Arabidopsis thaliana: one gene and its partner. The protein of the gene in region 1 binds, or shares a complex with, the protein of each later gene. Each region holds a gene or a part of one and is shown in the gene's direction. Other genes may lie near its edges.

Region 1 (2,992 bases):
CAAAACGTTCAGGATACTGCCCGGTAGCTCTAACAGTTGCTTCAACCTATACATGAATCAACATGAGAAAATAGTAAACTGTGGCCAAGCTAAGATGACAAAATGATAAGCTTTTACAAGAGCATACAAAGGTATCAGTAAATACAGGGAAACACCGGGTAGAGTCAATGCATAAGACAAAAAAAAACGTGACGTAAAGCACAACAACTGAAACCAGTAAAGCTTAACAATTTCCCCAGTTTAGAGAGACTCTATAAGGCCAGTGATCACCCACATTGCGGAAAAAACAGAGAGAAGCATTTGATTGTGTCCTCCTAGTATGGATGGTTTCAGAACAATAATAAGAAAGAAGAATGAATGAGAGGAAGAAATTACCGAGGCACGATCGCGAGGGTGATTGTAACGACATCTATTACCGTAGCCACAGACACCAGTTCGCATGTAGTAGGCACAGTCAGGAGCACCTGGTCTCTCAGGGTACGAGTCGCTACCCAACCCTAATCGCCACATCGATTCTGCAAATCACAAAATTGAGCACAGTCAGGGCCATTTAGCGGAAACCCTAAAGAGACCGTACAGTTGCTGAGAATCAAAGCGCATGCGAGACCTTGGAGTCCGGTATCGGCATCTGCAGGGGTCCAGTCGGGAGCTTGAGCAGATTGTGAGCCATTGAGGGGAGGATTGCGAGCATACATGTCCTTAAATTTAGGGATTTGGTGTACAGTAAAAAAGATACTAGTAAAAACTCCTCTCACCAAACTAGAAGAAACTAATAAGAGAGTAAATGTCAAAAGCTCATCGGTGGATCGACAGAGATTTACCGGAGAAGCCGATTAGAAAAGCTCTGAGAGAGAAGAAAAAAAGAAGAAGAAGAAGAAGAGATGCTTCGACAGTGATTGAGAGGAGCTTCTTCTTTGGTCGGTCTCTCTCTCTCTCTCTCTCTTCTTTCGCTCTTCAGGAATACCGTACGGTCTGCCCTCTGCACTACTGTTTCTTTTTTTAGCTTTCAATTTCTTTTTCTCATATTCTTTTTTAAATAATAATAGTATATAGTAGTAGTTTGTATTAATTTGTTTTGTGAGATTTATTTTTGGTTCTCTCTTGGTCCTTGGGTCGCCAAGTAAAAGCATCCCAGAAAAGGGAAGATATTTCCAAGAAATATACTACTTGACAAAACAACAAACAAAAAATAAATAAACTAATTTTTACTAGTTTCCAACCAAAATGACGGTAAGGTCCTTGGGCGGGGATAGCGCGCGAGTGGCCAACATGTGACACACAGACAGTTTTCTCACTTCACTTGCTAACTCGGGGAGTAAAGTGGTCTGGTCCGAAAGTGGGGACACATCCGTCATTTCTACCTGCTACTGTTTCTTAACTGCTCTCTCAACTCGCTCTGACCGAGTCTGACTCGACTCGACTCGCCTTCAATCAATGCCATCACATTTCTTCGTTTCCGCTTCCCATTTGTCGGCGCCACAAAAACCTTCTGTTGTTCACGAAGCCCTCTAGTACCATATATAGGCCCATTTATATAGCTAAGTCGGCCCAATTATGTTGTTAGTGTGCGCGGGCCAAATTTTAGATTCGAAAACGGCAGCGTTTGAGCTGTTACTTTTTTTTGCTCTTCTTGTCAACAAATCGACACTGCCGACTAAACAGCGAAAATCCCAAACAAAAAAATAAAAGAATGGCGTCTCTGTGCCTTTCTCTCCACCAAACCCTAACTAATCCCCTGTCGGCTCCCAGATGCAGACCACTCAGCCTCTCCTTCCCCGGATCCTCAACCTTCTCGATCCGCCCCTCTAGCAGACGCGCAACCGCCTTGACGACCCGCGCCTCCTACACCCCGACGCCGGCGACTGAGCGCGTGATTTCGATAGCGTCGTACGCGCTGCCGTTCTTCAATTCTCTGCAGTACGGGCGGTTCCTGTTCGCGCAGTACCCAAGGCTGGGATTGCTGTTCGAGCCAATCTTCCCAATCCTGAACCTGTACAGATCGGTGCCGTACGCGAGCTTCGTGGCATTCTTCGGGCTGTACCTGGGAGTGGTGAGGAACACGAGTTTCAGTAGGTACGTGAGGTTCAACGCGATGCAGGCGGTGACGCTGGATGTGCTCCTGGCGGTTCCGGTGCTGCTGACCCGAATACTGGATCCGGGTCAAGGAGGCGGGTTTGGAATGAAGGCGATGATGTGGGGGCACACGGGGGTTTTCGTCTTCAGCTTTATGTGTTTTGTGTATGGAGTCGTCAGCTCCTTACTCGGCAAAACTCCATACATTCCATTTGTCGCTGATGCCGCCGGTAGACAACTCTAATTCCGGCCAATATCTACCTCACTCAGTGTTCGGGTTTTCGATTCTAGAATCGGTTATTTCTGGTTTATAAGAGAGACCAAATCAATCAGTGTTGTTAATTAACCATTACCGTTTTAAAAAAAATATTTTTTGTTATACTCCCAACATTTGATTTGGCCCAATATGAAAGAACAGTATGGGGGGCCTTTAATGAAGCTATCATTGACTGAGTATAATTTTACAATCGTCGGTGAAAAGGTAACTAAGTAAACGGTAAAAAAATGAGCGCCGTCTATCTTACCGCGCAATGAATGAGAAGTCAATTTGGGAAACTGATCGGAGAAAAGAGGGAGAGAGGGTTTCTCAGCTGAAATCAAAATGGGTATTATCAGATTTCAAATCCTGAATCCGACGAGGATTTGTAGGTCTACTATATATTATATGTCTTGCCGTTATCTGCCATCATCATCATCATCATCATCACCACTCCGAGTATCTTCTTCTTCATCGCAAAAACCTAGTTTCGATTTCTCCAGAAGGTGGCATTTTGGTCACCCTGATCATCACCAGCAATATCAAAAGCCTGGAGAAGAAGGGGAGAAGATATTCCGGCTAGGTCTCACCGCAGATATAGGTTTATCTGTCGCAAAAGCTCTCACCGGTTATCTCTGCGGCAGCACCGCCATTATCGCCGAT
Region 2 (4,094 bases), 9.0 Mb from region 1:
ATCATTTTAAGTTTATTCCACTTTAATTTTGTAGTTTTTTTTTTCTTTTCTTCTTTATTGACTGATATTATAAATCACAAAGTTCAGGATGCAATGATTAAATTTATTAGATTACAATCAATGAGTATTAGTTTATAGTTATTAAAAATATTTAATATAAAAAATAAACAGTCATAAAATAATGTTTAATTTTTAATGTGTGTAAAATCCAAAACATCAATGCTTACGGAGATTTCCTTAAGATTAATAAAGTTGATTTTTATGTAATAAGAAACAAAATCTCATTAAACTTTAAAAGTAAAAAAAATAAAAATATGAAGTGTCACTTATGGTAGTAGTATCCAAAACAATAAGTTAATGGATTTGTTTCTAAAGAAAAGAAAAACACTATAAACAGAGGATCCTCACCATCAACTTTCACTAATCATCACAACTTCAACTTTTCAATACTCAGATTAACAATGGCTATTTTCTCCAAATTACATCTTCTCTTCTTCTCCTTCATCATAGCCACATGTATACATAAAACATTTCCAACATTTTAAGATGACTACTTTGATTTAATAATTTATCTGATAATTTTTTTTTGTTGTCCGTCCTAGTAATTTTTTTTTAATTGTATATTCTTCAAGGTACAATTTCTATTGTCTCCGGCACCGTCTTCACTTTATCAAACCGCTGCAACTTTACTGTGTGGCCCGGAATCCTAACCGCAAACCGCACACTACTCCGCGGCGGCGGATTTGCCTTAGCTTCAGGTTCTTCTGTAAACTTAACCGTTTCTCCAGGTTGGTCTGGTCGAATCTGGGGTCGAACGGGCTGCAACTTCAACGCCTCTGGTTCCAGAAAATGTAAAAATGCACCGGTGCAAGAGGAGCACCACCAGCCACACTAGCAGAATTCAGAATCGGCTCCTCTGGAAAGAAATACACCGTACAAGATTCTTACGACGTGAGTCTCGTCGACGGTTACAACGTTCAGGTGAAAATCACACCACAAGGTGGCTCAGGCAATTGTAAAACCGCGGGATGTGTTTCGGACGTGAATGCCATTTGTCCAAAAGAGCTACGCGTTAACGGCTCATCGGGTGTTGTGGCGTGTAAGAGTGCTTGTGAGGCTTTTAACAAACCGGAGTATTGTTGCACCGGCGCTTTCAGTAAACCGGAGACTTGCCCGCCGACGAAATACTCGAAGATATTTAAAGGAGCTTGTCCCACTGCGTATAGCTATGTGTACGATTATGCTTCGAGTAGATTTACATGTACTAGTGCTAATTATGTTATCAGTTTCTGTTCTTAGGCATAGTATAGCCTTTTTTATTGTTATTATTATCAACAATGAATAAATAATTAATCACTATTAACATAGTTTTATGTTTTTTTTTCATCACTATGAAATGTATTAAAGCAAAAAAGACTAATGTTAAAACTTAAAAGATTAAAAATAAAATAAAAAGAAGTTAAAATGACATTTAAATAACGTAAAAATAAACGACGTCGTTTAGCCAAAGTTTCTACTATCTATGTATGTGGTGGAACGAGGTCCAATGGTTGAACAAGCAACCTTATGATATATTTTATGAGAAGAGGCAAACAACACCTAACATTGGATTCGAGCTCTCTAGTGAAGAATCCGCCATGGCTGTTCCATTTCTAAGCTCTTCTCTACAACTCACACCCACTTCTCCGATTCTCTTCACTAAAGTAACACCAACACCAATAATCCACAACCACAGATCAACATGCACTATACCCACAAAGCCTCGTCTACGTCTCCTCCGCCGCTCCGCCGTCGCTGGAACCGCCGTATCTGATCAAACAGAAGGAGGTGGAGATGTTCTTTTAAACCCTGAAGAAGAGAAACGTGTTGAGGTGGCGGATTATGATTGGACAGAGGAATGGTATCCATTGTACTTAACTAAAAACGTCCCTGAAGATGCGCCTCTTGGCCTCACCGTCTACGATCGTCAAATTGTTTTGTATAAAGACGGTGAAGGAACACTTCGTTGTTACGAAGATCGGTGTCCTCATCGGTAAGATAAATCATCTAGCAAAACCACAACCACTAGTTTTGTACTTTTGTTTAGGAATCTGAAATTGAGTTTTGTCTTTTTTTTTATAAAGGTTGGCTAAGTTGTCTGAAGGACAATTGATTGATGGGAGATTGGAATGTTTGTATCATGGTTGGCAATTTGAAGGAGAGGGCAAATGTGTCAAGATTCCTCAGGTTCTTTGTTTACTGATTTTTGCTATTTCGAGATTTTCTCTTTACTCTGTACTTACTGGTTTTGGGTTCTGTTTCTAACAGCTTCCTGCAAGTGCTAAGATTCCAAAGGCTGCTTGTGTGAAGACGTATGAGGTGAAGGATTCACAAGGAGTTGTGTGGGTGTGGATGTCAACAAAGACACCTCCAAACCCTGAGAAGCTTCCTTGGTTTGAGAATTTCGCTAGACCCGGTTTTTTCGACATTTCGACTACTCATGAGCTTCCTTATGACCATTCCATTCTTTTAGAGAATCTGATGGATCCTGCTCATGTTCCTATCTCTCATGATAGAACGGATTTCACTGCTAAAAGAGAAGATGCTCAGCCTTTGGTTTTCGAGGTCACAGAGCGAAGTAATCGGGGTTTCGCAGGGACTTGGGGCCGAGAGAAAGAAGGTGGGAAAGGGAGTAATTTACTTCGGTTTGATGCTCCTTGTGTTCTGCAGAACAATCGAGAGTTCGAGGGGAAGGATGGAGTGAAGAACTATTTTTCAGGGCTGTTTCTTTGTAGACCTACAGGGCAAGGGAAGTCTATGCTTATTGTTAGGTTTGGGGTCACAAAAAGATCGCCTTTGGTTTCGGTGTTACCTCAATGGTTCTGGCATCAGAATGCCTGCAAGGTTTTTGAACAAGACATGGGGTTTCTATCGTCTCAAAATGAGGTTCTGATGAAGGAGAAAGTACCAACTAAGGACTTGTATTTGAATCTAAAGTCATCGGACACATGGGTCGCTGAATATAGAAAGTGGATGGACAAAGTTGGTCATGGGATGCCTTACCATTTCGGGCATAGGACCATATCTCTCCCCAAAGTCCCTCCTGTCGTGGAACATGCCCCGGCAGGGCTCATTGCAGCTCTCTCTGCTTCTTACCCTGCAAAAGGCGGAATTGGGACTATGCATGCTCCCAATTTGGCTAACCGGTACTTCAGACATATTATTCATTGTAGAAGCTGCAGCAATGTGATCAAATCTTTTGAGCTCTGGAAAAATATCCTCTCTGCCACGGCAGTGGCTTTGACGGCTTTGGCCATTCTGGTGGTTAGTAGACAGTGGAAGGCTGTCCTGTTAGGTTCAGCAGCATTGTGCTCAGCCGCAGCTTATACCTGCTTAAGAGCTATAAATCTAAACACCAATAACTTCATTAGAACACACAGAAGACTATGAAAATGTATAGTGTCATGTTTCCTCTTCTTCCAACAATATGTATTTCATGAAATAAATTTTTGCTTGTAAACGCAATTATATAATTCAGAAGGTTCCAATGTTTGCCATCAATCTTACAGTTTAACCATGAAATTTCTGTTAAACTGGTTTAAAGTTCTATGTTCTAAAACTTGAGCCATTTCTTCTCATTCTCTTTGCTTACTATAGCATTTGAGGCAGCTGCTTGACATGCTAATGTACTTGCCAATGCCTTTCGGACTTCTTTCAATCTTCTCGTCGCAGCCTCTGAAACAACTAGATCTTTCTTGTTTCTGTTCACCATCTGTTCTAGTTTCAACATTTCTAACTTCAAGTCTCTGACTTCATCTTGGTATTCAACCAAAGCTTTCCTGTCTACTGGACCTTTGTTTTGCCTATTTTTTACAGACTCGCTGTGTACTTTCTCATGGCGGGTAGGAAAAATTTGTTCATTGATTAAGCTAAACAAATCTGGCTTCGATTCCTCTTCCTGTTTCGCTGCTTTAGCTGCTTCTGCAAACTTCTTCCCACGCTTCCTTTTCCCACCTCTGCTCCTTTTCTTCTTTTGTTTCTCGCTTTTACATTCTCCATTCCTAATGTGCTCAAGAGCATAATCCAGTGACCGCTTTGCTGGAAGTACTTTTACT

Evidence for each region. Proteins that work in one complex are often made in the same cells at the same time.
Region 2: Tic20-II (region 1) and TIC55-II share a complex: the UniProt entries of both Arabidopsis thaliana proteins name them as parts of the tic complex.

The regions. Positions count from the first base shown.
Region 1 is NC_003071.7:19,593,656-19,596,647, reverse strand, and holds Tic20-II (putative conserved protein ycf60), read left to right. Parts: upstream 1-1,646; 5' UTR 1,647-1,690; coding exon 1,691-2,317; 3' UTR 2,318-2,461; downstream 2,462-2,992. Other genes in the region: AT2G47850 (Zinc finger C-x8-C-x5-C-x3-H type family protein), read right to left, coding at 1-46, 376-515, 608-695; AT2G47844 (uncharacterized protein), read right to left, coding at 1,209-1,355; AT2G47830 (Cation efflux family protein), read left to right, coding at 2,675-2,992. UniProt on the Arabidopsis thaliana protein: May be involved in protein precursor import into chloroplasts. Not redundant with TIC20-I, TIC20-IV or TIC20-V.
Region 2 is NC_003071.7:10,573,401-10,577,494, forward strand, and holds TIC55-II (translocon at the inner envelope membrane of chloroplasts 55-II), read left to right. Parts: upstream 1-1,541; 5' UTR 1,542-1,637; coding exon 1,638-2,032; intron 2,033-2,123; coding exon 2,124-2,226; intron 2,227-2,307; coding exon 2,308-3,429; 3' UTR 3,430-3,538; downstream 3,539-4,094. Other genes in the region: AT2G24810 (Pathogenesis-related thaumatin superfamily protein), read left to right, coding at 462-516, 633-788, 847-981, 1,064-1,299; AT2G24830 (zinc finger (CCCH-type) family protein / D111/G-patch domain-containing protein), read right to left, coding at 3,593-4,094. UniProt on the Arabidopsis thaliana protein: Involved in protein precursor import into chloroplasts. Part of the redox regulon consisting of TIC32, TIC 55 and TIC62.